Linked DNA regions of Oryzias latipes. The protein of the gene in region 2 interacts with the protein of the main gene of each other region in a pairwise test. Links are inferred from orthologs where the notes say so. Each region holds a gene or a part of one and is shown on either strand. Other genes may lie near its edges.

Evidence for each region. The genes of interacting proteins can lie anywhere in the genome.
Region 1: the proteins of disc1 (region 2) and cep170 interact in binary tests that used the Homo sapiens proteins (3 or more experiments, as listed by UniProt). The link is inferred for Oryzias latipes from reciprocal best matches to the Homo sapiens genes DISC1 and CEP170.
Region 3: the proteins of disc1 (region 2) and dmd interact in a two-hybrid assay, tested with the Homo sapiens proteins (2 studies listed by BioGRID and IntAct). The link is inferred for Oryzias latipes from reciprocal best matches to the Homo sapiens genes DISC1 and DMD.

Annotation. Positions count from the first base shown.
Region 1 is NC_019873.2:16,487,042-16,497,179, forward strand, and holds the end of cep170 (centrosomal protein of 170 kDa), read right to left. Parts: intron 9,726-10,138; coding exon 9,608-9,725; intron 9,497-9,607; coding exon 7,928-9,496; intron 7,809-7,927; coding exon 7,758-7,808; intron 6,240-7,757; coding exon 5,969-6,239; intron 5,884-5,968; coding exon 5,652-5,883; intron 5,323-5,651; coding exon 5,155-5,322; intron 5,072-5,154; coding exon 4,983-5,071; intron 4,856-4,982; coding exon 4,762-4,855; intron 4,658-4,761; coding exon 4,606-4,657; intron 3,822-4,605; coding exon 3,499-3,821; 3' UTR 1,530-3,498; downstream 1-1,529. Other genes in the region: hint1 (histidine triad nucleotide-binding protein 1), read left to right, coding at 1-9, 542-646, 793-957.
Region 2 is NC_019873.2:28,417,716-28,428,788, reverse strand, and holds part of disc1 (disrupted in schizophrenia 1 protein), read right to left. Parts: intron 9,469-11,073; coding exon 8,600-9,468; intron 7,555-8,599; coding exon 7,485-7,554; intron 5,906-7,484; coding exon 5,749-5,905; exon of another isoform or gene 5,744-5,748; intron 4,676-5,743; coding exon 4,585-4,675; intron 3,625-4,584; coding exon 3,392-3,624; intron 1-3,391. UniProt on the Homo sapiens protein: Involved in the regulation of multiple aspects of embryonic and adult neurogenesis. Required for neural progenitor proliferation in the ventrical/subventrical zone during embryonic brain development and in the adult dentate gyrus of the hippocampus.
Region 3 is NC_019860.2:189,870-200,942, forward strand, and holds part of dmd (dystrophin), read left to right. Parts: intron 1-247; coding exon 248-400; intron 401-1,924; coding exon 1,925-2,095; intron 2,096-4,174; coding exon 4,175-4,297; intron 4,298-4,435; coding exon 4,436-4,608; intron 4,609-4,698; coding exon 4,699-4,834; intron 4,835-5,879; coding exon 5,880-6,055; intron 6,056-6,286; coding exon 6,287-6,434; intron 6,435-6,565; coding exon 6,566-6,685; intron 6,686-6,787; coding exon 6,788-6,937; intron 6,938-7,012; coding exon 7,013-7,111; intron 7,112-7,999; coding exon 8,000-8,099; intron 8,100-8,623; coding exon 8,624-8,793; intron 8,794-8,866; coding exon 8,867-8,984; intron 8,985-9,278; coding exon 9,279-9,490; intron 9,491-9,669; coding exon 9,670-9,824; intron 9,825-9,900; coding exon 9,901-10,090; intron 10,091-11,073. UniProt on the Homo sapiens protein: Anchors the extracellular matrix to the cytoskeleton via F-actin. Ligand for dystroglycan.

The sequences.
Region 1 (10,138 bases), about 12 Mb from region 2:
GACGATCAGGTGCGCATGACATTGATCACATCCGTGCGCGTTTTATTAGCCACACGTGCAGCGTAGTCTCCACTAGCTTCGTCCTGCTCCTCTGCAGAAACTGCCTGCTCACTTTCACAATCAATTCTTGCAGGAATCTGTCACTAAGGAAATAAAGTTTAGTTCGGAAACCATACTTGAAAAACCTCTCAAATATATTTACTTTAAAATCAAAGAATAAAATAAATGTAAAACTTTGTTTTGGGGGTAATTAGGGAATTGTCATGGGTGTCACCGTGCATGTACTGATCTGATCATTAACCGGTGTTGAAGTTACACTTTGTTTGGCAGCTATGACTGACACGTGACGACAAAAGAAAATCCACATTGACACTGGTTATGCCCATATGTCTCTGGTTTTTACTGTGATCATTATTTAGCCAAATAAATGTCACCACATGACTTTTATTTTGAAGTCCTGTCTCGGAAGAAATAAAGCAAGTGTCCTCATGCATCACAACTCAGAATCCTTACAGATCTGTTTGTGTCTCCTGTCTTTCAGTGTGTGGCCTTTCCTGACATCTCTCCTCAAGCTCCCACTCACATCCTGGTAGTTCCGAAAAAGCCAATAGTTCAGCTGTCTGTAGCCGAGGAGGACGATGCTGCAGTAAGTCTGACTGCATGTTCTTCCTTTGAGCTTCATCGCATGTTTCTGTCAGTGGCCACTAGAGGGAGCTACTTAATCTGAGATCAGAGGTCTATTTAAAGGTCGGAATCTTCACGTGTTCTCTTGTTATTTACTTCTCTTTTCAGTTGTTGGGCCACATGTTGATAGTTGCAAAGAAGTGTGCTAAGGACGCAGGTCTGACTAAAGGCTACAGGATTGTCATCAACGATGGGCCCGATGGAGGCCAATCCGTCTACCACGTCCACATCCATGTCCTGGGTGGACGCATGATGGGATGGCCCCCAGGCTAACCTTCCTCTTCCTTTGCAGACCACGTAGTCATGTCAAAGTCTGTTGTTTGGTGTCCTGTACTTCTAAACTTTAAACAGTTGATTTGGTGAAACCACATGAAACAAACATGAATCTGTTCATTTGTTAATAAAGTTTTCAACAACAGACTTTAACTTGTCTTTCATCTTTCTTCATGTCATTTAGGAGTTTAAATAAAGTAATAATCAGTAAATGCATTTATGCTATTAAAATCTAAGTTCTTTTGGATACATTTGAAACTAAAGTGCATTTGATGGTAGATCTTTCAATGAAAAAAAATCTCATTATTTTGCATCCTTTGGCTACTTTTGTTTGAAACAAAAGGTTCCAGAATTGCTGAATCTGTGTAATATGTTAAGACTTAAGGGACTGCTTATTTTACCCACTTCTATTAGACAAAATAAAACACAAGTTGGGTTTTAGCAAATATTAATTTGCAAATCTTAATAATTAAAATGTACGTTTATTTTAAGGGTCCTGTATGGATACTAAGCACTCAGGCATGTTTGCAATGCAAACAAAATGATGCAAATTCTTTTCACATGACAACAAAGACAACTGAATGGCTCATTTTATTACCAATAATGTGGATATTCAAATATAAAATGCAGTAAACATCCACAAAACAAAATAAATAAAACAGTAAATTTCTTTACAAAAATAGGAAGAAAAAACAAAATAAATGACAACACTGATCTGATGAAACATAAAAAGAAACATGTACCTCGCATTCACACTCCCCTATTGGCTTGTCTTATAACGTAATTGAGACAAAAATATTTAGAGGCTTCATTGACAGAATAAATTCAAAGAGGCAAGATGGTCACGTCTGAAATCAGGCGATATCGTCAACTGATGCAGCCTTTTCCTTCATTTTCTCCTAATCTGGATGTAAAAACACTCCAGCTTGATGTGCAACATTTTTGTGTCAACCTTCTTTTCAAGAATAATGCCCTTACAGAGTGAACATGGGCACTTTGAGGCAAAAGACAAATCAGTCTACAGTAACGTTGAATGAGAAGGAAATGAACACTAACTCTGGTACCTAAATACACTACTGTGAAAATCTCTAGACACAAACACACAATCTTTACGTAGTTTTACTCTAGTCTAGACACAGACTTCAGAGGAGAGGTTAAGAAAATGATCAGTCTCCATTTAGACATAATGTAGGCAGCCAAGTTAGAGAAGAAATGGTTAGTTTTGCAGCCTGTGAGTACAGGAAAAGGAAATTGGAGCTTCCTCCTGACTGGAAAAGAAGAAGCTTTTTAGTATTTACACTGATATGACTTTGCATCTCATGAGACATTTATAAAGCAGAGGGCAGAAAAAAATAAAAAAGAACAAGTTTTAATCAATAAATCTTTTTGTAGGCTGCTGTTTTTTAATGGCACCTTTATAAAAAGGAACTCTAGCAGTTTTTTTTCCATTTATGTGTACAAAAAAATACAAATTTGCTAAACCAAATCCCTAAAAAGTTTAGAAATGGTCTTTTTCTTATTAAACATTTAGTTTGACACAATAAAATGGAAGCTATGCGTCTGACTTTAAAATCATTCCATTAAGAACTAAAAGAAACACTTATGTGAAGGTTTTAAAGCAAAAACAAAAAAATTAAATACAAACATCCTTTTTCACTTTAGTTATAATAAAATAGTTATTATAACTAACTGATAGTTATAATAAAACATCTCATGCTGTATAATTTTTTGGCTCCAAATCACATTTTCTAGATGACTAAACAGCTGAAATGACTGGTAACGAGTTCACTTTAGTAAGGTATTGTCACTGTTTCACCTGCTAATAAATAAAAGCAGCGTTTCTGGTGGACATTGTGAAATGCATCCTTGTATCCTGTACATGCTACTGCAGGCGAGATCTCCTCTACAAGGAAGGAAACATGACCGTTAAATAAAACTCATAAGGGGTTTGAGAGGAAAGTTGAGGATACATTACAAAACAAAACAAAGAAAACACAAACAATTCGGGCTTAAAGCATGTATACTTTCGTCAGGGTGATTCTGATAGAACATTCTTTGCGGCGCATAAATTATTGCAGTGGGCTGTCGTTTATTGATGTGTAAAGGAAAATATATTAGACTGTATTGTTTTAGACTCTTGCATGAGGTGGGGGGGGTCAGGAAATTCAGCTGCTACAATTTTTCTTAAGGCATGTCCTTAGTGCAGGAAGGGTCCAGACACATGAAGAAGGCAAAAAGAAGGAAAGGACAGTACTGAAAGGCTTCAGTCAACCAGGATGACAGGTTTTATAGCAGGCATAAAAAAGTCAAATGTTATAGTTAGTCTGTTAGAACCTATGGGTCAGCCTCTGTTGCTGATATGCACAATAAACAGTCATGTATTGGAGAGTGACAAGAAGTAACTATGCTTGTATAATAAAACTGTCAGAATGGCCGCTGTGTTTATTTAAAAAAATTATGTTTTTTAAGCATTTGATAACTGAGCACCTTCACTTTTTTCAGACCTGTTAATAGTTGCTTATGTTCTTGAAAAGGTGCTGCTCATTTCTGTGCGATAGCCTCCTCCCCGCTTGGTCGCATGCGGCTAAAGGGTAGTCCTCCAACTCCTGCTAAGCCCAAACCCACACAGACGCCTTGTGCGTTCATTTCTATGCTGGTAGAAGAAGTCTGGCTCTTGGAGGAGGCTGCTGAACCCCGAGCTCCAGAGGGGATTTCCGGCAGTGACTCTTTGGCTGGAGGGGCCGATCCCGGGCTGGTGGGGGACGTTTTAGCGGATGTCGGTCTAGTTGGAGTAGTCGGGGTGGTCAGGCCGAGGCTTGCCAGAGCGTCCAAAGTTCCGTCTGGATCTACCATCACATCGATCACTGAGACGTGACATGGAGAAGATCAGGAAACTTTAGCTTTAATCCTCATTTGTGTGAAATGCCTCACATAAACGGTGCATTCAGACGTCCTTGTCCTTTAGTTCTCAATAAACTTTTCACGTGAACGGCAGGTAAAACACATAAATAAATGTTCTGACAAATAAACATTTGGCCTTTTTTTCCGTTTGATAACACGACAATCGTACCTTTATATTTTTCTGCAGCTCATCTGTTGCTTCATTCCTACTCTGTTTACGTCGGCTACTGTGGCATTTTGATTCTGTTCTTCCGCTCCAAGAACGGATTGCATTCAGACTGAGGAATCTCAGAGCGAACCGAAGCTCAGTCCGATTCGAAACGAACCGAGACCACCTCCAAAGACGGATCAGAGATTGGTTCCTGGTCCTGGACCAGGGTCCGGTTGGGTGTATTCAGCCTGAAAATTTGTTCCGAGTTCTCGGGGAAAACATACTCTGGTTCACTTTAACTCTTGTGCTATCCTAGGCACTTTAACATTGGGAGTTGGGTCATCTAGACCCACTAGACAGTGCTCTGAACCTTTTTTCTTCAATTATTTGTGATCTTCTCTGGCGTCCATGGATTACATGAAATCTTTCCACCTTTATCCACCTTTGTCATGGTAGGGAGAACAGGTCAATGTAAGGGTGGGGTCATCTAAGATAGCACAAGGGTTAAGTGAACCAAAAGTGCCCAATCTTGAATACCCCCTCAGTGAACTAAGAATATCAGCTAATGTATGCATATTAGGGAGTCCTCTGCTTACCTTGAAGTTGTTTCTCTACTCTTTTCAGCTCAAGGAAAATTGAGGAGATTTCCTGACGAAATGAGGGGAAAAAGTGACAAAAAGATTAACCTAAGAGAAAATTTAGGATTTGTTAAATTTAAGATGTCTAGTCAAGAATTGTTCAGGGTTCAATACCTTGTTTGAGGTTTTAAGAAGAGGTACATCACTTTCTGATTTCAGCTTACTCTCAATTTCTTCCCAGTTTCTGTCCTTATCCTTGAACAAAATCCTGGAGCAAGAAAACACAACAGAACCAGATTTACAGATGCATTTCTTTTAAAATAACGAATCCCAATGAGAGTTTATGGGCTTTTGAAATGACTTTTAGATACAAAAAAACTACAGACTGTAATCACCTGATCTTTCCTGCTGTTTTGTCAACAGAGTTTCTGATCTTGGTTGAGAGCTGAGAAACTGAATGTATGAGTAAGCTGTCCAACACCGCCTGAACACAACCAGGGAGAGAGAAATGACGTCTTCAATGGTGTTTGTGACAGTCTAAGCACTCTCATGGATTTGTTGCCTCACCTCTTCTCGATTCCAGGTGCGTCTCCTTAAGGCCCGGGGCTCTGCACTGTTAGGAGCTTGCGGCCGGTGCTCCACTGGTTTACCGTTAATCTCTGGCGCCTTCTTGGTGGAAATAACAGGAGGGATCTTCCTGAAGTTCAGACTCTCATCAAATACTCGATCCACCAACTGGTTGAAGACAAAAAGATATAGAAAAGAAAGGAAGAGAATTAAACAACACATGCATTCATGCCAGAGGGATGTAAAAGGACAGAGTGACTGTAAAGCAAGGTTAAATGTAAAATGTAAAGCCAACAATGCTAAAAACCTTGGTTACTAACTTAAAACATGACAGCGTACCAAATGAGAGTGTAATAGATGAATAACTCACAGCAAATAAAAACTTTGAAGCAGCAGAGAGGAACATTTTTGTTTATCCCAAGCAGTTATAGAGGAATGATGGAGTTGAGGTGAAGCACACGCAATGAGGCCGTGATAGAAGAAGAAAAATTGGGCACCTTCTTCATGCTCTCCTGTATGTCCGGCTGCACAGGACGTGCTGGGCCTACCTCTTCCCGGGTGTCGATGGCCGATCCTGGCGTGGTGGCAGCCGTGCTGACAGTGGTGCTGGGTGCCGTGCCAGACGAGCTGACCGAGTCAATCTCGCCTGCCACATCATGGATCTCCCGGGCCAGGACAGCCAAGTCTTTAGCCAAGTCCTGGCTGATCCTGCGCACACAGGGGAATAACCTGTTAACCATCAGATAAAGTATTTTAGACTCAAGACAACTACACACACACATGCACTGAAAATGATGGATTAAGGGATCCATACCTGGCTATTTCCTCGCTGTGTGCTGTCCAGTCCCTGATGTACTCCTCCTGCTCCTTCATGCGGTACTTGATCCCCGCTCCACTTGTTGCAGACACCCCTGCGCCCGAGCTGGTGGTGGAGCCGAGTCTGGAGCTGCGATGAGGGACCAGGTGATGGGGCCGTGCGTGGGATCGAGCTCCGTGCTTGGGGGAATTTCTGCTGGACCCAAACTCTTCCTCAGAGGTGGAGCCGTACTCCGGGGGCAAGCGCCTCCACCGACTGCTGCTGGACACTGTCCCATCAAAGAAGGACAGCAAAAATTTGAGCAAACATTACAACAAACTCCACAAATAGTAATAAATGTGAGGCTTTGCAACCTAGGCAGCCTGCAGCCATACAGCGGGGCAGTCATTGATTCTGCAAAGTGACCCATTTAAAAATATGAGAGGCCTGTTTAGTTCATTTTAGATTGTGTGACAGACAGAATGTAGAGAAAGAATCCAGGTGTTTAAACAGGAGCCATTAATACAAGTGGAGGATAGAAGAGTTTCTTAACGATGGAACAGGTCTGTGAGGACAGAGTTCTTGCTCTTTGTAGAAGTTAAATACTTATTTTTATCACATAAAACATTCTTTAAAAATCATTCCGTGAGATTTGTTTTTTTTTTTTACATTCTATCTGTCACAGTTGTGTATCTATGATGAACATTACAGACTCCTTTCATCTTTAAAAAGTGGAAGAACTAGAATCAGTGACTGTATGTTTAACCTTCATTATCAGAAGGTTGCAAAATCGATGATGTGAATCTAAACTTTAAGCAGCCTTTTAAAGTTAATGGGATTTACTTTGTTTTCTTCAAACTTATAATATAAATGAAGTTGTTAACAGTCATGGGATGTTCTGGAACTCTCCTACCAAACAAAAACCTAAGGAAGAACTAACACACTGAACTTGTGTTAGGTTTGTGTTAATGAATGGAAAGCAATGATCAAATCACATTAAAACAGCAGCATAGAAAGCATTGCACTGGAGTTGCTGAAAGCTCTCTGTCTGTACAGCCTAAAAAATACATGAAAGCACAGAAAAAGGTCTAAACAAAATACTACCACTTCTCCTGTTGATGAGACAAAACTACGTATGCTCTGCTGTTGTAAAGGTGAAAACACGAGCAGCGCGTTTGGGTCATTATAGTGTTCTTCAATCAATGAAAAAGCAGGGATTCAAAGTTAGGGCCACACATGTTAGAGCTGGGTCATCGCAGCTCAGCTTTCCGTCATGAAAATGTTTTGATGTCATTCCAGGGCTGGGTTTTAAAAGCTCATCTGATTTTATCAATTCAAAGAGATCCTAACTCAAAGGATGTGACATGGATTCATGAAATCTATGGCTCAATTTTCCTCTAATGTGATGCCTTGTAACAGAAAACGGCTTTACTGCTCATTTTTTATTGTAGGTACCATTTTTTAATTGCCAGGAACACGTTTGTTCAGTCCAAAGCACTAGTTATGAGAAGACTCAAAAAAATCCATATGGAATCAGTTTTAGATGGAATCGTATCCAAATAAATCAGATTCCAATCATAGAGGAATTTAGCTATTTTAACCCAGCCCCACTAATGCTGCATCATATAATATTATAATATAAACTAAGATGGGTAGCTTTCCAGTGCTGTGACCCAGGTCTGACGTCTCCACGTGCAAACACACACACACACACACACACACACACACACACGCCAAGCATGAACACACTCACGCCAAATGAACCTGCACACAAGCATCTCTCAAGTCTATAGTTCAGGTACAGTACCCATCAGCTCTTCCTCTGCATCAGCACCTGCAGTTTCAGGCTGAGAGCTCTCTAGATGATGAGAACCAATCACAACATAGTGTGGAGCTTTATGCACAGACACAATACACTAAACATTTATGCTTTCTTTCTACGTTTCTAAGAAGGAAATGTGACGGGGATGTTCTCACCTGTGGGTGAGCAGTATCCCGCTGTAGTGGTTTTAGTCTTGGTCTCATTCAGTTTGGAAACACTGTTAGCTCTCATTCTGGGTGTCAGTCTGTTCTCTGTAGGCGCTGATGAACGCAAGCCGAGGCGCAGAGCGGTCTCAGTGGACAGCCGTGCTGAAGAGGTGGAGCTTCGCGTTGTTGTGCATTCAGAGTCGCTTCGGGCTGAGATAGAGCCAAGACGGGTTCTTCGCGGCTGAGCCAGCATGTCTAGTCGAGACAGTCCCTTCCGACCGCTTGGTGGTTTAGAGGTAGAGCTGGTGGTGGACACCTCAGATGCCACGGAAACCCTGTCTGCATCGGCTAGATCTGTGTCAGATGTATCGCCAAGCCGAGCGCGGCGAAGGAGGGAGGCCCTTGTGGGCCGTGGCTGAGGCAGTGAGGCCTGCTTATTCAGGGAGGAGGTTGTGGCTGCCTGAACAGTCCGGTTGGTTTTGGAGGAACTACTTACCAAAGTTTTTCCAGTCCTGCTATCGGTTTTAGAATAGAGAACATCTTCAGAACCACGCCTGAGTGCTGAGTGCCCCAAAGGTCCAGAATAGGTTTCCTGATCTGAAGAGAGGACATCAGAAATGGGAAAGGAAGAGGTCTGATCATCATCAGTGAGATCTAGAGATGGTTGCTGTGCTCTGCAGGAAGCTGTGGATGTCTGAGTAGAGCGACGGGCATCAGTTCGGGATGTTGCTTCAGCTGTTCGGCTTTTTGATTTCCTCTCCAAGCGTTCGCGAGCACTTGCATTTAAGGTGCTGGTCCTGGATGAAGTGCTCATGTTGCTCTTCTCGCGGTGCATGCTGCTCAGAGAGCGCCGTTTCTGCACCCCACCAGCTGCTGCTTTACCCTCTGCTTCTCCAGCGGCGTGACTGGCTGTGCTGGCCGTGTCCACGTCTGATTCAGGTGAGATGCAGTCAGTCCGAGAAGGGAGTCCAGAAGCCTGAGTATTAACACCAACTTTGGTACTTTTCTGGCTCAGTTTGTTCTCATCCCTCAGTTTAGCCTCTAGAAATGCCATGACAGCTTCAGTGTCCTTCAGCAGTGTTGCAGTGTCCATGCTACCCACAGAGTCACTGCGCTCGCGGCCACTCGTGCCTCTGTTTATGCGAGGAATGAGCTCTACGTTGACGCTAGAACTGGGCTTCTCAATCGTAAAGCTGCCCTGACGGACAAGAGGTTTCCCACACTTCTCTCCTTCTTCTTCTCCTCCTCCATCCCTCTCCTCTGATCTCTTCCTTCTTTCTGTTCCACCAGAGCTACGGAAAGGACTCTTGGATGGAGACGAGGCAGGACTTTGTTTGCATTTACTGATCGTTACAGTGTCCTTCATGGGAATTGGAGACTCGCCGTCTCCCTTGTTCTCTTTCTCCTGTGGCTCAGTGTCCTGCTTCTCCCCTATGTCAGATCTTGCAGCCTGTGAGCTGGATTTGGCCTGGGGGTCATCCACGGGAAGCTGGGGGAGGGTCCTGCATTTACGGTCTGTTGGGCTGGAGGAGGATTCACCTTTGGAGAGTGCTGCCCCAGACTCAAAAGCTTCAGTTCCTAAACACATGGAAACGTCATTTCACAAAGGACAGAATATTTAGGACTTAAATTCAAAAGGAAAAATAAGTGAATTCGCTCAATTCCAAAACAAAATCTCAGCATATTTACCCCTCTCTTTGTGGATGAAATTTGCTGCCTCTGCTCCAGAACCTTCTGGGTCCATCCTGGTATGACTGGCGGCTACACTGGCCCACTGAGACACCCAGCTAGAGTCACCGGTAAGAGCCTAACAGAGAGTGATGAAGATCGATAAAGGAACCACTGAACACATCATGAGAATTTACTGCTAAAAATTCTAAATCCAAAACTCAAAAGGAAAAAACAAGTAATCTTGTACAAATCTGCATCAATGAATCACTTAAAATTCAATATCATGTGGCAGGGATTTTAACGGCCCTCTTGCTCTGATTTGGTTCCCAGATATTAACGACTCTGAACGTTACATATACACAAAAACCATGTACCGTACTTAAAGGGCTTAAAGGATGGACAGAGCAGACACTGTCTCAGCACACTGACCCCTCCTCTTATGAAATAGCCTGGAGGGCTGAGTAAGTCTTCCTCATTTTAGTATGATCTAGGTCAGACTCAGAAGACTTGGCCTCCTCCCATAAACTAGCACGGGAAGTCACAGGAGTG
Region 2 (11,073 bases):
GGCCCGCGACCTTTGCCCCCCTGGAAGAAGATCCAGCCAGGTTTGCGCATGCGTTTTGTGCTCCGTGCTCAGCTCAGCCTGCACCCTTCACCCCGCGCCCCCTCCCTTCTCCTTCTTCACCCCGCGCCCCCTCCCTTCTCCTTCTCACACACATTTGCGTCTACTTCTCAAAGACAGGAGAGAGCGCAGCTGCGGGGCGGGGGCTCCGCCAGGTTTCAGGCTGTTACAAACTCTGTGATATAAGTAAACCAATAGTGATGCATAAAGTATTTTACAAGAGCTGAGCCGCTGGCGCCGCCCCTCCGTCATTTTTCCGCCCCGGGCGATCGCCCGTATGGCCCGTGCCTAAAACCGCTACTGCATCCTTCTAACTCAAATATCCTCTCTTCAACTTCAACGCTCTTAGGCGATCACAGCTCTATAGCACCCCCACCTGGTGACTAAAGGTATTTCACCTTTTGCTCTACTTACTTCATGCTCCACTGAAAACATGGTTGTTAAAATCAGAAGCCGTCATAACTTTAATAAAATAAGACTTTAACACAGTAATATAAATACCTTTTGGAAAAGATAATTCAATCTAATAACTATGTTTTATCATTAGACAACACCTATTTGTCCCTCATGACCTTAATGAAAGTTTACTTTAGATTAGATTTGCTTTATTGTCGTTGTCCGTTGTACAATGAGATTGAAGCATCACCATTACAGTGCAAGAATAGCAAGGAACAACGAAATGTATTATCAAACAAACAGATCAGTAAATACAAGTGTACAAATATAAACTGTAAAGAAGAATGTCCAAAATTAGTGTGCAAAATTTGTGTGTAAACATGTCAGATGTGCAAGAGGTAGCAATGAGGTAGAGTGTTGATGCTGTGGACAGAGTAAGTGGACAGAAGTATGGATTTTATCTGTGCATTTTGGTTATTGCCTTTGGAAAGAAGCTGTTTTTGAGTCTTTGTTGTGCTTCTGATGCCTCTGTAGCGCCTCCCAGAGGGCAGCAGGTGGAACAGGTCTGAGCCGGGGTGTGAACTGTCCTTGATGATGTTGTGAGTCCTAGTGATGCAGCGCGCGGAGTAGATGTCCGTCAGGTGGGGGGGGGCTATGATCTTCTGAGCCGTCTCCACGACTCTCTGCAGTCTCTCCTTATCCGTGACTGTGCAGCTGCAGAACCAAACTGTTATGCAGAAAGTAAGCAGATCTGGATGGATGATGGTAGAAGGTCAGCAGCAGGTTGGTGCTGATGTTGTTCTTCCTGAGGACCCTCAGGAAGTGCAGACGCTGCTGAGCCTTCTTCGTGATGGCAGTGGTGTTGGCTGTCCAGGAGAGGTCGGCAGAGATGGTGATGCTGAGGAACTTAAAGGTGTGGACCCTCTCCACGTGCTCCCCGTTAATAGTGAGGGGGGCTGGGTCCGCGCCATGCTTCCTGAAGTCGACGATGATCTCCCTGGTTTTGCTGGTGTTCAGGGTGAGGTTGTTGTCTGAGGACCAGGTTGTCTCAGACTCGTCCCCCCTGGGGATGAGTCCGACCACCGTGGTGTCGTCAGCAAACTTGGCGATGCTGTTGTTGTCGTGGGCTGGACTGCAGTCATGAATGTAGAGGCAGTACAGCAGGGGGCTCGGCACACAGCCCTGTGGGGCGCCGATGCTCAGTGTGCGGGTGGAGTGGAGGTGGGGGCTCACAGTCTGGGATCGGTTTGTGAGGAAGTTGTTAATCCAATTGCATGTGAGGGGGGGCAAGAGTGAGCAGTTTATCGCAGAGTCTGTCCGGGATTATTGTGTTGAAGGCGGAACTGTAATCCACGAAGAGCATCCGGACGTAGCTCTGCTGCTGCTCCAGGTGGTTCAGCGTGGAGTGGACAGCCACGGCTACAGCGTCCTCTGTGGATCTGTTCTTGCAGTATGCGAAATGGTGGGGGTCCAAGTCTGTGGGAAGGTGGTCCCTGATGTGCGGGAGGATTAGCCTCTCAAAGTACTTCATTAGGAGTACCAAAAGTATTTTAAAGAGTCAAAAAATGTGATTTAAAGTTACTTTTGTGATCCTCTTGTTTATTTTATTTTTTTAATTTAATAATTTAAAGAACTCCAGCCAAATAAGTGTTCCGTACACGAAGCAACGGCTATTTGTGCAAACATTGTTCCCCTAAAATATGTTTTAGTGTAACCGAGGTATGAAAATGTGTCAGGTTGACATTTAACTAGTTTGGATGTTGAACTATTCAAATAGCTTAATAATTATCATTGAATTCAATCAAAAGTCTCTAAGCTAAGCTTATGATTGATTTAACCCCTGAAATATTATTTATTTTAAATAATCATAAGATATATCATATAGTTTTTGAAAGCAATTAAACTATTGTTTCAGTAAAAGGGCTGGTGTGCTTTACATTTAGGTCAAAAAATGATTTTCATCGTCAACTTTGTGTTTGTAATGCTCTCATTAGAACAGATGTTAACATCTAACAGATGTTAGAACAAATGTTATTATAATGTTCAGAGAGCTTCCATAGTGAATTTAACATAAAAATGACTGTAACCACATGAAGAAATAATGATCAATAATAAAAGAAAATTCATATTTGAGATGAAAAAATGTTTCTGATCGTTGGACTCATCCCAAAATTTAACGATAAGATTAAAATCATAATTTCTAGTTGAGGAAACGATTCATGGTGGATATTGGTTCATCGGAACAATCCAATTCGATCATTGATTTCTTGATTCATCGCTGCCGCCCTGGTCAAAATAAAACATTTCAGTTTTCAAGTCAAACTGGAGTTTTTCTCGTGGAATGAGTCTGGATTTATTAGGAAATTTATTATAGAAATGTAGAATAGAAATAAAACATCTTCCTAATTTTGCTGGTTTAAGCTGCAGTTCCTTAGAGTAGAGATACATTTAGTAAACCTGAGCATCTTCACTGTACAGACAATAATGAGATGGAAGGAAATACATTTTTCTAAAAATAAAAATAAAAAAGTAAAAGCTTCTTTAAATAAGCTAAACAAGCTTTTCTGTTATTATGCAAAATGTTGCAAACTTTTTTTTTAGAAGAAATCCTTGTGGAATATTTCTATATTCACATTTGTTTACAGAAATAAGTTAAGAAGCTGAATTTGTGTTAGGGAATTTGTTTTTTTTTACATTTAATTAGAAAAGGAGGTAGTTACCCTTAAGCCCCGCCCCCTTCCTCAAGTTCAAGTCTTTACTTTGACTTTTGAGTCAAACTTGAAACATTTTGGGTTTTCCGTATAATGAGCGCAGCCTCTGGTGTTAATAAAGCTTCAACAATCAAACAAAAGTCATTTTACAAACATCTCCAGCCCCCACCTTATTGAATGCAGCATTCATGCAAAAGGAGGAGGAGGAGGAGGAACGTGACTCTGACCTGAGGGTGGAGGGTGGCGTGGAGAGGCAGATCTGCGCGCGGCTTTCGGACGTGACGAGGTCCTGCAGCGTCCTGCTCATGTCTCTGAGCTGGGGCGGCGTGCAGCTCCTCAGCACGCAGCCCTGCAGCTCCTCGTCCTCCGCCTGCTGCTCCTCCTGCCGGATCTGCTGCTCCAGACGGCGCCTCCTGTCCTTCAGCTCCTCCAGCGTCCGCTGCAGCTCGGCCATTTCCCCCTGGTGTCACATCGGAGGTTCAAACCCTTTTTTCCTTCACTTTGTTCCACGGCTTTGTTGAACAAAACGAATCAATCCGTGTATGACAATCTGCAAAACCCCCCCTAGCGTTTTCTCACGCCTAAACCCGCTGAAAATCAATTAAGGGCATAGTGACCCCCCCTAAAAAGTATGACATCACAGCAGGAGAAACCATTAAAAAAAAAAAAGAATGGGGCCAAAATGTCTTTCGGGGCTCAAAATAAATATTTCAGATTTTACGGATGAAACCAAAACAAACGTGTCGGGGCTCAGTTTTGAAACTATTATGGGATGGCCAGCTTGGCACCAATTTGTGGGCGATTTTCGCATGTTTCTACAGTTTGGGTAAAAATAAAAATCTTCACAAAATTTCACGCCATCCCCAGGTTAACTCTACTATTTTTTTTAACTTTTGACCTCAGGAGGAGTCTGAGTTATTCCAAAAACGCCCCTGTGACCCCTACATTTATCGGCCCGTAACTTCTCAAGTATCATTGAAGAGAACTTCTTGTTGCTCTGTTACTCGCACAATCTTTACCGTAATATTGTGAAAATGTAATCAACAAAATCCTTGGCCTAGACTGAACAAAACGATACGACATACAATATGACCATACTGGGAATGTGGGCGTGGTTAACAAAAACCTCTGTTGCCATGGAAATCCCAAACTTTACTTTTGTCGATTCTTCTAAAAATGGCGTAGACTTGTTCGTCACCACCAGGTGCCTAAAAAATTGAATGGTTGCTATGGAGATAAAACCAACAGAAAGGCTGCCATTTCATTCATGACTTTGTCGCATGCAGCTCTGACCAGGCTGGCAGGGGCAGAGGGGTAAAGTGAGGGGCGTGAAGCAGCCGCTTCAGGGTAATAAGGGGGTGGCGAGGTGCGTCCAACGCCACTCGCAGCTTTAACTGCTCATTGTAGTCGTGATCTTTACCTCCACCTGCCGTTTCTCCTGAATCAGTCGGTCTCTGCGCAGCATTGTGCTCTGCTGAGGGTCTGACTCCTCCCCCACGTTAGGCTCCTCCCTGAAAACAGGAGAACATTCAATGCAGAGGACAGGCCGGCACGACATTTCATTCAGGCTTGATTATTTTTGAGTCACTTGCACTTTTTGTTATGAAAACTTAGATTGATTTTGTTGATTTTTCTCTGGTCATTGAAACAGAAGCACCAATAAACACGCCAGGTCTCTTTGATTGGCCCAACTACAGCTGAAAATCGACTTTTTTTTTCTAAAAATGAGTAAAGTGTGTCAACATTCTACATTTGGATCCAGTTTTTTTCTGAACTTCTGTACAATCTCAACACGTTTTGCCTCTTAAGACAATAGAGTACCACTTAAAAAACAAAAGTGTGTGTGGAGAGGATTATTTTAAACTCATTCAATCATTTGTGTTTTCTTTTCTTCTATCTGGCTGCCCCTGACATCCTTCCTGTCTGCAGATCTATTTCTGAAAGCTTTTCCTCACATCTTTGTGCTAAATCATCTTAACAACAGCCAAACAGAACTAACAATGGCAGGTTAACGCCTCAAAGTCCCACTATGATCCTCCTCTGATCTATTTTTAAATTGTTCCCAGTGGTCTTTCATGATGATTTTGACGTTTTTAGCATAACATCTAAAGACTTGTGTTGTTTACTAGGACATAGTTTCTGCAGAGCGGCAGGAGTTCATCAGAAATTCAAGCTTAGTTGTGGGCGGAACTGTTGCTGTGGAGCAACCCCGCCCCCTTTACTGTCACCCAAAGAAAGACGTATAGACAAGTCGCATGCTACTCAAACGACACTTCTTCTGCTCCACAATTTTAAAAACTTGAATTAAAAAATAACTTAAAAACGCCATTTAAGATTCATTTTCTTTTTATATGTTGTACATCATCAGAAAAATGCTACAAGAACATGTCAAAATTTCAAAAACACATTTTTTATCGGACCTTTTTATAAATTAAACTAAATAACATGAGAGTTCCTGCTGGGATTTGAACCCCAAACTGTAGCGAAGGTTGGACTTATTCAGACAGCAGCTTTAGTCTGATAAAATGTCTGAAATTCAGATTTTAATCAGTCGATGTCTTTCTCTTTGTTTCCTGCAGCTGACCTGCTCTGCGCAGCGTCCGTCCTCTGGAGGGCGCTGTGAACCGCCAGGCGGAGCCTCTCCAGGAACAAGGACACACTGGGTTGTCTGGAAGGTAAGCCCAGCTTCAGTGCTGCACGCTCACTGCACAGCTCCTCCAGCTTTTTCCCAAATCGCTCCGCTAAAATCACACAAGCAGCAAACAACACGTCAACTCGACATTTGCAACTTTTGAAGTCGAAACAGTCCGTGCAACCGGACAATGAAATCTTATGAGGCCTGCATTTATTGGCTCTCAAAAATGACTAAAACTGACTAAAACCAGAATTTTGATCATCTGTCCTTTTATAAAGAAGATCAAAGAAGAAAAATAAACGTTTTAATGTTTTAGAAAGCCGTTTTTACATTTAGATGAACCTTTCGCTCAGAAACATGTTTGTTCGACAGTAAAAACTGAGGAATAGTTGCAGCAAATGCATGCAATGTTATTTCTGTCACAAGACCCATGAAATGGGTCAGAAGTGCATCCTCCTCTGAAAATAAACGGCTCTCTGCCTGTCCCCGACAAACATGGGGGCCAAACGGGGGTCCTGAACCAAGCGTCTTTTTCTGGACTTTGCTTCTTCTTGTCATTTGTCAAGTTGAACATTTGGCTTTAACAGGTTTAGAAACTAGTTTAAAGAAACAGTTTCATCACAAAAATAATAAGAATATGGAAATATATCTATATATTATGTCTATATATGTATAAAGATGTTAGGCAGAAAACAACAAAGCATTTGCTAACATGTTTTTTGCTCTCTAAAGAGAATAAGCCTTTGTCTATTGCAGAAATGCTATTTGTTTTCATTTAATTATGAAAAGAATTCCCATAATGCAACAGTTGTTTCTGTAAACCAGAACCATCCCTGCAGAATTAACAATAAAATCCAGGTTTGTATGACCAACAACCAAAGTCGGATCAAATGTTTTCATATTTGCTCATCTGTAGTTTTCTATTTTTACAATTATTTACTTGCTAAAAGCATCAAGACAGCCGGCTGGTTCCAGCAGGTTCTGTCCAGCCACAGAACCACGCTTTGAAATTTACAGCCAAAGGCTTTTATCTTGAAGAGAATTTAGATAAATGTGGGTTTTTAAAGGTGCAGAGACATTTGGTCATAATCCACATAAACATTTAGAAAAATCCAAAACTTCATTTTAGGAAAACCCCTGACATAAAGTGTTATTAAGCACAGTGGAGGAAGTTTTATAACATGGGCAAACCACATGACCCCTCCATTTTATTGTAAACAAAAACCATTTAGAGACTGATGTTTGGCTGGAAGTGGATCATGACAGCGCTCCGGATCAAAGTGTTGCTCTGACCCAGTCACAGTCCTGACCTGACCCGGAGTGACACGTGGCCTCAGACGACCCGTTCAAACAAACGCCTGCAAGCCTCAGTGAGGTTGGTTCAAAAACCGTTTTTAGCTGCAGGTCTTTTATCATATGTAACATGTTTGGATTGTGCCATGTTGTTAAATAACGCAGTAGAGCCCAAAGATCACGAGTGTTAAACAGATGAATGTTTGAATCTTGACGGTCCTTTGACAGCTGGGATTTCTGTCATAATCGCTCTGCAAACACTTCCTTCCACTCCGACAACTTTAATGGGAAAATCTATAAACACACGCAATGGTGAAATAATGGCATGCAAGCAAAACGTTCCTCATAAAACGCTTGATTCAGAGGGTTAAAACGTTGTGTTTGGCGTTCACCTGCGTCGTAGTCGTCGTCCAGAACGGCTTTCTGCTGGAGCCTCTGCAGCTTCAACATCATGGACTCGATCTGAGGCGGAGAGAAGAGACGGAGACATCAGCCCACAGGACGCCGCCCACAGGGAACGGGACAAGTACAATGACCGTCATTCTGTCAGAAAGTTCTGCTGCTTTTGGAGATTTTAACTTATGAACATAACTTTATGCTCTGCTCCATTCTCTTTTTTTTTAAATCAAAAGTGTGATTTTTTTTTTAACTTTCTTCCAGTTTTTAACACAGATTTTGAAAATAACTTAAATGTGTTTAATTAATGACAAATGGTCCAAACCTTTAATTTTATAAACGTTTGTGTTTTATTTTGAAAGCCAGACCATGACCTTTGTTGCTCATCATTCCATTTCCTGTCGGGCTTAGCTTTGAACAAGATATTTAAGGTGGTTGTTTCTAAATGTTGTCATGACCTTCACATCCATCTGACCTGAGCCATCACGGACCGAAAGATTCAAAACTTTAACTATCTGCGTCCCACAGCCGTTCTGGACTGAAGGACCAGATTGTTTCTGCAATTTTTCCTATTTACTGCATCTTTGAAGAAAAGTTTTCGCTGAGCTGAACAAAACTATATGACATACGATACAAACATATCAGGAATGTGGGCGTGGCTAACAAAATACCTCTGTTGCCAAGGAAACCCAAAAATTTACTTTTAGCGATCCTTCTAAAATGCACATCGACCTGTTCCTCCCCCCCGGACGATCAAATAACTAAATGGTTGCTATGGAGATGAAACAAATAGAAAAGCCGCCATTTTTGAAAAAAAGTGCTTTTTTCTTCTTCTCACATGCAAGTTTGACTAGGCTGGCAGAGGCATGAAAGGAGAGGGAGGGGCTTGTAGCAGCCACTCAGCCAATGAGGGAGGGCTAAACCATACTACACCACTCGCGGCTTTAAATGTAATTGCTTTTTCTCTTTAGCGCACTTTAGCGCCATGATTTATTTGATTTAATGATCTGAAACAGTCTACAGAACATGAGTTCTCCCTCAGCAATGACAGCACTTTAAAGTGAATGTGTTTGAAGTCTCTGCCCCCCTCAAGAGGATCCGCTATGCCCACCTTTGTGTAGGCGCGGTTGTTTCGGAGGCAGGCCTGCAGCACGCCCTCGTACTTCTTCACCACGCCGTCCCAGCCCGACTCCAAGCCCGCTGTGGCGCTCTCGTAACCGGAGGTGAAAGAGGAGGCTGAGGCCGTGTCTGAATCCACCGACAGCGAGGAGGTGACCTCCACGTCCAGAGGACGGGGCTCGCAGTCCAGAAGGTGGGAGGTCTCCTCTTTACCGTAACACTGACTTTCCCGCCAGAGCCTCCCTCCTGACGGCAGGTCCTCCTTCTGTGCGTGGCCGGGTGAAGAGTGGACAGGAAGCGAGAGCTTTAAGAAGTTCTGCTGGGAGTCAGGTTTGGGTTGTGGTCCTTCGGGGGCTTTGGTAGGTGGTTCTGGTTCCTGTAGTGGTGCAGCTGAAGAACCGGTCCTCTGACTGGAGCTGAGCGATTGCTGAATGAAACTGAAACTGGACGTGAAAGAGTCTTCTGCTGAGGTCTGGGGAGCCGGCCTCAGCCTTAAGCTGAGCTCATCATGAGGCTCTGAGGTCAGACCCAGATGGTTGGATGTTGCTGGAGCAGGATGGATGTCTGCAGCCGGGCCGAGGACGCCCTCACTCCTCAAACCCGTTGGTTTATTAACCATTAAAGCAGGAGCTGGACTCAGTCTTTGAGCTGGAGGGCCATGGGTGACGGCGGTGCTGCATCCACAGTTTCCATTCCCAAAGCAGCCGCTTATCGCCTCTTCCTCCTCCTCCTCCTCCTCCTCCTCTTCCTCCTCGGTACCTGCAGAGCTCAGCAGCCTGGACTGCTCTCCTCTCATGTAGCCTGGCTTTCGGTGATGCCTCTTTCGCCCAGAGCTGCCAGCTGTCGCCAACGCTCTGCCACCTGTTGATACAGAGATTAGGCGTTAAGCTCCGCGACAGGAGGAAGATGAAGAGTGAGCTCACGGGCGGGAAACGCTGGATCTGCAATGAAAGGAGAGTTTAATAAAAGACAGTAAGAAAAAAGCATTTCAGTCAAGTAATAGCAAATTTCTTCAAGAAGCTGGAACAAACAAGCAGCCATCACCTCCCAACTCCTTGAGCGTCATCGGGAAGCTTCACGGGGGAAAAAATGTTGGTTTTAAAGTTTGTGTTAGCGTGGCGAGGTCACAAATTTGGCGTTCCCCTGTTGATCGCATATTTTTTACCGAAATATTCTAAAGATTTTAGACAAATGGTCATTGGCTAAAGCTGAACGAAACAATATTTAATACCTTACGAATATATGAGGAATGTGGGCGTGGTTAACCAAAAACTTCAGTTGCCAAGGAAATCCGAAAAAGTACTTTTGCTGATACTTCAAAAAATATTACACAGACCTGTTTGTCAACCCTAGGCGACCAAAAACGTAAATGGTTGCTACGGAGATAAAACTAACAGATAAGCCGCCATTTTGAAAGAAAACGCGAATTTGTCCCATGCAGCTCTGACCAGGGTGGTGGAGGCAAAAGGGGGAGATTGAGGGGCGTACAGCAACCGTTCAGCCAGTGAGGGTGGGTCAAAGGGGGTAATAGGGGGCGGCGGGGGCAGGTAACAGGCAAACAACATCACTCCCACCTTTAATATTTTGTTTACACCTTCTTTTTCTTCCGGTGGAAACATTTTGACCTATTGATAAATTCTAATTTTACCCCACAAATCTCCTTACATATTTTTTTCAGAATGTCAGTCGGCATTGTTCTATTTAGTCTACAGTCATGGACACAAATTTTAGTTTTCTCAGAGTTAATAGAATTCCAAGCACTTCATACATTTCAAAGGCTTTTATGGACAATTCCATGACATTTATGCAAAGAGTCAGTATTTGCAGTCTTGGCCCTTCTTTTCAGGACCTCTGTACTCCCACTGGGCATGCTGTCAATCAACTTCTGGCCCAAATCCTGACTGATAGCAGCCCGTTCTTTCAGAATCACTTCTTGGAGTCGGTCAGAATTAGTGGCTTTCTGTTCGTCCACCCGCCTCTTGAGGATTGACCACAAGTTCTCAACGGGATTACGATCTGGGGAGATTCCAGGCCATGGACCCAAAATGTCAACAGACATGCCGCCTGACAAGGAAGACGTTGTTCATCTTTACCCTAACTTTGTGTGAAATGTGTTTCATGCATAACAGATGGTACGCTCCACTGAAAACAAATGATCACATGACTAAAACGGAATAAAACAGGCCTGTTCCACATGACAGATTTTTTTTATCAATGGTTTTATCTGAAAGTAAAAGAAAAACACTGAAAATCTTTGAGCAAAGCTTAAAGTAGAAGACCTTTTTAAAAATGTGCAAACACATTACAAAAACAGGTGAATAATATGGATTGATCTTCAGGAACTACAGTGGAGGAAATAAGTATTTGCCCCCCTAGTAACCATTCAGAGTTCTGGTTCACACAGACCAGTTAGACTCTCCTAATCACCTGTTTGAACTGATCACCTGTAGAAAAGCCACCTGTCCA
Region 3 (11,073 bases), on a different chromosome or scaffold from region 2:
GTAGCTTTATAGGATGAGTGCATAGAAGTCCATTATCAGACGTGAACGGCCTTTAGAGAGGCAGCGTTGTCATGGTAACGGCTTGTGAGCCTGCAGCTGGTGCATGAGGACTAACCGTGTCTGCAGTCACTCTATGCCTCCAGAACCGTGTTCCTTGTTCAGTGACGGAGCGTTTGCAGAACCCCACGTTCTCCAGATGTTCCTCTGTGGTCGTCCTCCCATCACCGCCGTGTCGTCTGCATTCCAGGACCTGCGCATCCTGAGGAACAAGAAGGCCCTGGCCATCGCCCCACAGTGGTACCAGTACAGGAGGACGTCACATGACCTGCTGGCTTGGTTGGAGGAGATCCAGCGCACAGTGGACCAGCTGCCTGACCCCCCCGAGGGGGGGCGCGTCAAGGTGAAACATTGAAGTCTTTCCTGCTTCGGTTTTGTTCTTCATGATGCTTTTATGTGCCATCCGTCTGGAACTGGTTGGTTCCTCTACTTTTCCTGTTTCACAGCATTTGATGAAAGCTGTTCTGGAGTTTCAGGAACCAAAGTTGTTGCTGGATTTGATCATCAAATATCATCTACAGCCTTTTTCAATATTCATCTACAGCCTAGTTTGACAAAGGAAATAAAAAAGTAATAGAGGAATTTCTGATTTTACATTAAATGAATGTTATAATTGTCTAAATGTATTGGCACAAAGTCGCCTCAGTTCTGTCTATTGACTGTTTATCTGAAAACTGGACAGTGTGGCCCCGCCCCCTGGCTTCCAAACAGGAAGTACACATATAGACTTCTACAAAGAAATACACAGCTGTTACTTGGTCAATCTACCTGTCAGAATAAACCATTCTAAATGGTAATTGGCGTATACTTGTATAGCGCTTTTCTACCTACAAGGACAAAGCGCTTTACAGTCACACACACATTCACACCTTTTTTTTTGTCATCTTGATAATTGTCTTTATTTTTCATGATTTTTTTCTGCAGTTCAAATTCTTCAAGTCATAAACTGACCAACCAGGTGTCTCAATAAAAGTAGGTGGAGCCTGCTGGCCACCAAATCCAATGTTCAAAATGTTTGACAGATAATAGGAGTGTGGCTTCCAATAAGCTCACACCTCATTGCTGAGAGTGGTTGCCATAGAGACGTCAACTCAGATCAATCACTGCTTACTGACGACATCTGACTCCCAACATGGCGTCAAACATTTCATTAAAAAAAGACGACTGGGTTGACTTCATTTTGTTGGAGCTGGAATAAACACATTTTCATGGATGATGTCACACAGTCCAGTTCTCTGATATAGTCAATGGTTCAATCTGGAACATTCATTCCTGGATCATCCTGTCTCACTTACCTGGATGGTACAGGTGTGTTATGGACACCATAATACACCCGTACTTTCTCACTTACCTGGGTAATGCAGGTGTGTACACCCGTACCGGGTCAGTTACCTGGATGGTACAGGTGTATCAATGGTGTCCATCTCTCTGCCCGGCGTTTCCATTGGTTCTGTTAAACAGGAAAAGTGGACTTTGACTCGTCTCTGACTCTGTGTGTCTTTCACTTTCAGATGATTACTATGACATTTCGCTAAGCCACTAAGACACTCACCTGCTTCCTCAGACTCACCTGTCGCAGCACAGATGTTCACATGCTGTGTGTGTCTGTGCATACGTGTGTGTGTCCTGGCTGTGAATAAACCTTCAGTGTTGAAATCTGACTCTTTGGGATTGTTTTTGTCTTACTCTCACAAACATGACTCCTCCCCCTAACATTCGTGTTGTGTGCTGGTGAAGCGGTCACTAATAAGTATGAATCCATGTAGGTGTGTCTTCCAGCATATCCATGTGCTTCTTCGTGCTTGACCCCCACCCCCCAGGCCCCAGCTAATAGCGAGTGACCTTCCTGGTTGATTTTGTCCAATAGGAAATTGTCTCAGAGTTGGACGTGAAGAAGGAGGAGCTTAAGGCGGTGCAGGACTTAGCCAATCAGCTGTCAGAGGCCGGAGCTGCCGGCCTGGTGGAACCTCGCCAGCTGCAGCTGAACACGCGCTGGCAGGAAGTGGAGGGTGCCATTGGTCCCTTCAGAAGACGAAGTGTGAGTCCCTGAAGGCACCGTGTGTGCAGATAAAACCCCCGAGAACGGCTAACGATAACAGCTGCTAGCTAACCTCGAGGGTTTGTCCCTGTCAATAAACTTAAAGCTATGGTGGTCTGGTCAGAAGCCCCGCCCACAGTCAGATGGGTTTACCAGAGCTGCTGAGTTCTGAACATGGGACTGTGACCTATGGACCATGGACCAGGACATTGGTGTCTTCCACCCTTGTCCTGTCATGGTGCATAGTTCATTGGTGTCATCATCACTGCTGTTTCATTAGTGGGACTTTCATCCACTGGTTCCTGGGTTTTTCTGGTAAATGGGTTAATAAAGCAGGTCACACCCTTCATCACGCATGACTAATAGTTACAGTGACTCATAACAAAGTAGTGACACCAGCTCCATGGAACAGGATCATTGGTAAAAGCCCAGAAGTCATTTTGGATCAGAGTCCTGAATCTCTGGGGTCGTCCTGGGGGGCGGCGGGCAGACGTGGTTCCCAAACATTTCAGATTTTTCCCTTGAATTGTCTTCATTTTAAAAAAGTCCGTTTTATAGTAAAATCCTCCTTTTTAAACATAAACTTGTCTTCTGTAAAACTGAGGTTAAAGTTTCACAGGACAACAATAACATAAGAAAACTAGACGAATAAAATGAAAAAAAGAAACATAAGTAAAGTAAAAACATTAGAGACAAGCAAAGATAAATAAATAAACACAGATGGGGGGGGGGACATGTGAACGTTTGAAAAAATGAAAATCTGAGCAACTCAATTTAACTAATTTAGTTCTTTTTAATCCAAATCTGAGTTTGGACTCGTTTTTATTTTTTTATTTTATGAGGAGCCAGTTCACAAAAAAGATCTAAAAAAACAGGAATTACTTGAGATTCTTTAACTAAACTAAGGCTTTAAAATCTATCCTTAAATTCCAGGCTAGAGATCCATCCTCCACACTTTCCTGTTAAATGTGGCTCTAAACACTTCATTAGATTACTGATGCTCCATGGTAAATGGCTGTATATGTACATGAGGCTCCACCGTGGTTCTTCAAGGTCCAGTGGTGTGTTTCTGTTACCCCATCTATGCAGAGGTCTGACCCATCCCATTCAAAGGACTATGTAAAACGAACAGAAAAACCTGGCCTCTATAGAAGTGTCAGTGAGTTATGTGGAGAATTGACAGATTTGATATATTTTGGGGCTTAGCACCCCTGAAAGTGACACCCCTAAAACCTACGTGGGGTTTTACTGGCCTAACACTCCACTGGGGCTCCATGATTCTCAGACATCCATAATGTTCCATGAGGGTTCCTGATGGTTCCTGAGGTTCCATAAAGGACCATGACGCTCCATCTACTCTACAGTCTATAGTGTTTCATGACGGTTCCTGAAGGTTCATGTCTGTGACCGTGGTTCAGAAATAAACTGAACTACGATCTTGTGGGGCCGGTCAGTAGATGTATTTCTAAAACAGTGCAGGACTGTCTGATGGTACAGAAACACTTTTCTACTTTCATCTCCTGACATGTTTGCATTTGGAACCACGTCTGTCTGTTGACCTCCATGATCTGAAAATGTGAAGATGATCCACAAGAACCTTCAGCGGTGACGTCTCCATCTGCAGTACCCCTGCTCTGCATGAGGGGGCGCTGTTGGGAACCAAAAATACGTTCCTTCCAACAGGAACTGAAATATTGTGCACACACAGTCTCTCATGTTCTGTCAGCAGCTCACACACTGCTTGATAAATGAAGACACACAAACAGTTGTTTTTTTCCAAATTCAGCTCTTGGTTTCATCCTTTGAACAGAAATATTTGCCCCCCCATGCAGCCTGAGTGAGAACCTTAGAGAGGCTGCATGTCTAGACGTGGATCATCAACGTTTGTCCTCCTAAATGCACATTCTTCTGACATTTATCAGCTTCATCCACGTCTCCTGGTTTTGGTTTTTCCTCCAGAAAAGCAGAACTTTGCTGTTCTTTGTTGTGGAGTTCAGATCAGATCTGGATCGGCTCTGACTATCTCCAGCGTGAGCAAACATGTCTGTTTCCGTTCTGAGCTCTGCTCTGTGTTTGCAGGACTATGTGGCAGAGCTGCAGACTCTGCTGCGGTCGCTGTCAGAGACGGACTTCCAGCTGAACTCTCCAGAGTTCTGGCCGGCTGCCTTTTACAGGCTGAGTCAGCAGGAGCAGTGTCTGAAGGTCAGAACGGGACGGACCCACACCTTTGCTGTTGACCACAACATTTGACACTGTCTGCACGTCAAACCACAGATAATTGTGGTTCTGGTCCAATCAGTCACTGGTTCCTCTCAGTTCTCCAGCTCCATGTCTCTGCAGGAGGTTGGAGAAAACATCGCTGTGCTCCGAGGGCCGGTTGAGGCGGCCCTGGCCCGTAGGGAGGAGGTGGTGGTGGGCGCCCGTCCTCTGGAGGCTCAGAGGATCCGGGAGACGGCGGGCCTCCTGAGCAGCAACTGGGACAAAATCCTCAAGCAGCACCAGGACCGACTCCGGTGAGGAGGCCGAAGGGACTGAATGACGGACAAACAGAGCAGTTTTACCAGCAACCGTTTGTGTGTGTGTGTGTGTGTGTGTGTGTCCAGGCGCTGGCAGGAATGCAACTCCAAGTGGCAGAAGTTTGTGTCAGACCAGAAGGCCATGGAGGCGTGGCTTGCTGATGCAAAAGCCGCTCTGGAGCTGGCAGAGACTCAGCCAGAAGCCCAGAGGCAGAGACTTCGGGTGACTACACCACGAGTACACAACAAGAAGACACAAACAAGTCAACGCTCATGTGTGCACACGTGTACCATAAACAGACATGTCCTGCATGTGAAAATACACATTTACACTGTGTGTAGACATGTCAGACAGCTGTCCTGATTCATGCATACACACAGGTACATGTGGAAGTACACAGTCATGTACACATTTGGATTGACTAAACAGTCCTGGATTTACACCTCAAGTAGACACGACAGTAGAAATACATTCTCATTGGAAAATGACCAAAGTTCCAGTTTTTGTCCATATGGGGCAGCTCTTTAGTGTCTTTGTGTCCTGTGCACTAAACCTGTTCTTCCTTTCTATCTATCGATCTATCTGTCCGTCTGTCTGTCTGTCTGTCTGTCTGTCTGCCTGCCTGTCTGTCTGTCTGTCTGTCTGTCTGTCTGTCTGTCTGTCCGTCCGTCCGTCCGTCTGTCTGTCTGTCTGTCTGTCTGTCTGTCTGTCCGTCCGTCCGTCCGTCCGTCCGTCCGTCCGTCCGTCCGTCTGTCCGTCCGTCTGTCTGTCTGTCTGTCTGTCTGTCTGTCTGTCTGTCTGTCTGCCTGCCTGTCTGTCTGTCTGTCTGTCTGTCTGTCTGTCTGTCTGTCCGTCCGTCCGTCTGTCTGTCTGTCTGTCTGTCCGTCCGTCCGTCCGTCCGTCCGTCCGTCCGTCCGTCCGTCCGTCTGTCTGTCCGTCCGTCCGTCCGTCCGTCCGTCCGTCCGTCTGTCTGTCTGTCTGTCTGTCTGTCCGTCCGTCCGTCCGTCCGTCCGTCCGTCTGTCTGTCTGTCTGTCCGTCTGTCTGTCTGTCTGTCTGTCTGTCTGTCTGTCTGTCTGTCTGCCTGCCTGTCTGTCTGTCTATCTGTCTATCTATGGTTCATAATGTTCAGGTGATGACGTGGGGACACACTGATGACAGCTTAGTGATCTTGTGACACACAGGATTATTCCAGACCGGTCATCTATGCATTGGATCTCATCCATGTGCTGGTCTTCTCTGCCCCCCCCCCCCTCCACCTGTGTGTAGGCGCTGACAGATGCCCTGCCCCTTCAGGAGAGGGTGATTTTCAGAATAAACTCTGCTGGAGAGGAGATCTGCCCCCTGAGCACCCCAGAGGACGCTCTGCAGCTGAAAACGCAGCTGAATCTGCTGAACGCCTGCTGGACCGCCGTCTGCCAACAGCTCCAGGAGCACCGCAGAAGGTGTGTCTTCTGATTGGTTCTACTTCTTCTCTGGTTGATTCTGTGCAGCCTCCTCGTGTTCAGTGGGTACGTTCAAGCAGTCGTGGAAGAAAGTTGGTTTTGATCAGTGTAGAGTTTTTGGGGAAGCCCACCGTTTAGAGCGGCCCCTCCCCCATGACCTTCTCTAGAGACGTCAGATGATGGAGAAGCTTCAGAACAGAACCAGTGCTGAGGTTCTCCTTCATCCTGCAGGTCTGCAGAGGCTCGGACCGCGGCTGCACAAGTGCAGGAGGACATGGGATCCATGTCGGGCTGGCTGGACCAAGCTGAAACAGTCCTGAAGATCCCCCTCCAACCGGCAGAACCCCAGCACATCCGAGACACGCTGGACAAAGTCCAGGTACCGTCCTGTGTTTGCACCTCCTCCTGACTGATGCCCAGACCTGTGCTGACAGGTGTGTGTGTGTGTGTGGGTGGTGTGTGGGTGGGTGTGTGGGTGGGTGTGTGGGTGTGTGTGTGTGTGTGTTCCAGTTTCATGTAGAGCAACTTCCTGAGAAGGAAGCAGCCGTGAAGGATCTGAACTCCAGGCAAACCTCTGTTCCCGCCGAGAAGCTCAGAGACATCAAGATGATCAACACGCGCTGGTCTCAGGTCAGCCGGAGACACTTCCACAGAACCTGAGCAGAACCTGCTCCCCCCAATCCCCTTTCAGCCCCCACTGTGTGAGCTGCCTCTGAGCTGATCTTCCTCTAGGTGTCCAGGGCTCTGCCTGAACGCCAGCAGGAGATCGAGGCTCTTCTCCGGGACCTGATGAAGCTGCGTGGCCGTCTGGAGGACCTGTCTGCCTGGGCGGTGAACACCCGAGCTCGGCTGGAGCAGAGTCCAGAGGAGCCCCCGCCCAGGGTGGGACACTCAATCCATTTTCTGAAAGACAGCACAGTCTGCTTCGCTGTCACCACCTTGTGTCTGCTGCAACAGGTGATGGAGGAGGTGCAGGTGAAGCAGCCAGAAGTGGATTCGGTTCTGGAGAGAGCGGACCGGGTCTTAAAGGAGGTTCCAGATACCCAGACAGAAAAGGTGAGGAGGTCTGAAAAGATCAGGAGGTGACGTGGAAGAAACAGGTTGTCAGATAGGACTCTATTGTTCCTGTGGGCGTTTCCCTTGAGGCGTCTCCACAGCCAATCAGCTTCCTCCGTCTGTCTCCTGTATCCTCTACCAGCAGCTACCTTCATGTCTTCTTTAGAGAAGAATCCTCCTCTCTGGTCTTCCTCTAGACTCAGCATCCTTCAGTCTCTCCTCTGGACATGTCCCAACCATCTCAGTTCCCTCTAATGTCCCCATTCCTGGTCCCAACATCAACTGGTCAAAGTTCAGCTGCTTTTACCTTCAAAATGTGTTCAATGGACGTGTGTGTGTTTGTTTATAGATCCTGGAAATGGCCGTAGAAACTTGTGTAGCGACGTGTGAACAGTTTTGAATGCACACGTTTCCATGGACTTATGGAAGTGGTGGCGTGAAGCACCTTGCTGACGGCGGTGTGAGCCTAGCTTAAAACATATCACGTTTTTTTTGGCTGTTTCCCATATTTTTCTGTGCAATGTTGGATTTTTTTGTCTTACTTCACGTGGAGTTCTGATTGGCTGTTGGCAATCAACTTCCTGTGTGCCGTGTCTCCTGTACAGAATCCCTTCAGTTTGTCACATTTACTTTAATCAGATCCTTGTTTTCATTTGGGCTTTGACAGTTCAAACAAAAGTGTGAGAAAATGTGTAAAGTGTGTAGTGAGGAGTTTTACGGCCTAAAACCTCTAGAAGTTTTGTAAAAGATAAAGAAAAATACTTTGACCATTTTCCCGTATCGCTGGTTAATATTAGAAAAGAATTCTTACAATAAACAGGATAACTCTGTGTTATAACAGCACAAATGAGTGTCTGTGTGCAGTAATAAGTGTGTGTTTGTTACCAGCTGAAGTTCGTGAAGCTGAGAGAAGACTGGACGGTCATTCTGGAGCTGCTGCTGCAGCACAGACAGAGGACGGCCAATCAGCTTCAAGCCAAAACAGCCAGTAAGATCCTTTCTCTCAGTGCAACGTTCACACGGGGACCATTGGAACACCCAAGGAGCTAACCCTGACCTCTGACCTCTGACCCCTAACCCGTTCACATAGGTACACCGCCATTACTACAACCAAAGAGCTAACCCTGACCTCTGACCCCTAACCTGTTCACATACGTACACCACCATTACTACAACCATAGAGCTAACCCTGAACTCTGACCCCTAACCCGTTCACATAGGTACACCGCCATTACTACAACCAAAGAGCTAACCCTGACCTCTGACCCCTAACCTGTTCACATACGTACACCACCATTACTACAACCATAGAGCTAACCCTGACCTCTGACCTTAACTGGCCATGATAATATCAGTTGTGAAGCTTCATTTTGGTTCTAGACATGCTGAACTCAGACGTGATGTTCGTATGTAATTATGACGAGTTTGTGGTCGTTTATGTACAAATCTAATAATAGACTTCAGACCGAACGACTCAACGGAGTCGTCTCCATGGCGCTTGTTTGTGTCCAGTTGAAGGTCTAAGTGGGAGTTCACAGCCTGAGGCTGCAGCTCTGGCTCAGTTCAACAAGTCGTGGGCGGAGCTTACAGACTGGCTGACCATGCTGGACAACATGGTGCGGAACAAACGTGTGGTGGTGGCCGACCTGGAGGACATCCATGACAACGTCCACCAGCTCAAGGTCAGGGTCTCCGTCTGATGATGAGCAGCTGAGCCTGAAGCTAAAAGAGTTCAAACTGCTTCCATTTTTCCAGACATCTCTGCAGGAGCTGGAGCAGCAGCGCCCCCTGCTGGAGAAACAGGTCACAGCAGCACAAAACCTGAAGAACAAAATCAACAACCCGGACACGCGTACTGCCATCACTGAGCGCAGTGAGTCATGACACACAACTGGACTCCTTTTTGTCCTTCATCCTCATGAACAGAGGAGCTAAACACACACGTACAGACACACCTGTTACACATTTAGGAGATCCCTGGAAGCCTTGGTCACATGCTCCTGTACGGGGTTGGACGGGCTTTGGGTTCTCCAGGTGATGGATGGATGGATGGTGAATTAAAAACGACAATAAATGCAATAGCATCAGTAGATCAATAGTATGGTTGTACAAACACATGGAGTCAGATGAAGGTGATCTACAGAGGTGGTTCTCTCTGCCATCACAGTCGACAGACTCCAGACCCACTGGGAAGACTCTCAGACCAAAGTGTCAGAGCGGGTGAAGCAGCTTCTCAACATGCTGCAGGACTCCACCAACTGGCTGAACAGCAGGAAGGATGTGGATCACCTCACCAAGAAGGCCAGTGAGCGGCTGGAATCGTGGCAGGAGATCACGTACAGCGTGGACACTCTGAGGAGGCAGCACGGAGACCTGAAGGTGGGTGGCCTGCTTCCTGTGACAGTAGGAGACGTGGCTGGTTAGTGCGTCAACCTGAAAGTGAAGACAGAATCCTGGGGGGGGTCTCTGTGAGCCCTTCAGAGCAGGCGTTGTGAAGCTTCTCGGTTTATTGAGGTTCAGCGAGTCGTCAACAGTCACCATCACATCCGTCTCTCCAGGTCTTCATCAAAGACCTGAAACTGTGGCAGGAGCAGGTGATGGAGAGCACCGCTCTGGCCAACAAACTGCTGACTCTCTACTCCAACGATGACACCCACAAGGTCAGCCAGGTCAACGACGGCATGATGGCGACGTGGTCCCACATCAACAAGCGGTGAAGGCTGCTGCTCCCAGTGTTCAGTTCCTTTCCTGTAGAAGACGTGTGCGCTAACCACCACATGTCCATGCAGGGTTTCAGACAGGGACGCGGCCGTGGAGGCCGCCCTCAAGCTGCTGCAGCAGTTCTTCCTGGACCTGGAGAAGTTCCTCAACTGGCTGGCAGAGGCAGAAACCACCTGCAACGTTCTAGTGGACGCCACCAACAAGGAGAGAGTGCAGAAGCAGCCAGACAGCAGCAGGAAGGTGCTGGCGCAGTGGAAGGTGGGACAGTTTTCCTGTCCTGACAGAGGATGGACATGGACTGTCTACTGTTTTTACCAGAACCATGGTGCAAAGGATAGGTAGAACTATCCACTTTACTGAGAGGAAAACATCCCATAGATGGTGCAGACCTGTACCTTCTTCTGCCTTCACATTCTCATCAGTCTGTTTCTATGGGCTGTAGCTGTCCAGTCACGCTTTGAAGGTCTTTTTGTTTGTCTATTTTTAGCTAACTTAGCATTTAACTTTACAAATAAAGCTGCAAGCGGCGTTGTATGTTCCGCAGGCATGACCCCCCGCAGGCATGACCCCCCCCAACTGTCTGCCCCAACAGACACCCGATCAGAGCACCGGTCAGTTCGAGCCAGGATTTATGGGTTAAAAAGTCACAATATTCTGGTTCAAAATGTACAAACAGGAGAAGGCCACCACATCAACTCCATTTAAAATCTACTATTTTGAAGCTAATTTTTTTCCTTAAGTAGCTTCCTAGTGATGTTTGAGGAGTGGTTTGTCCTGTCACCCCCATGACAGGTGGTGCGTCCCCCCGTCTTTACTCATCCATCACTTAAACGATCAAACTACACGCCCTGTCCTTCCTAACTGGATTATTGTAAAATACATGTTGTCTGTCATATATCAGTGGTCCCCACCCTTTGTAACGCCACGGACCGTGATGACGTCACACAAAGTTTTCACGGACCGGTCTGTCAAATGGAGGCTGATGAGTAATATAGCAACACTACAACGAAGGAGGAACAGAGACGTGACAGGAGAAACTCTGAGCTTTTATTTTGATACGTATGACATTGTACATCACACAGGTCTTATCATTCTCTCCCCTTCCCTCACTCATGGTGCAAAAAGGAAGTACTGTCTATTAAATGTAGCTTTCTGTTTTTCCTCTTCTGTCTCCTGGATGGCCTTTTCCACTTGGCAAAGAAACTTTCCATAGACGTTTCTTTTTTACTCATTTTGCTAGT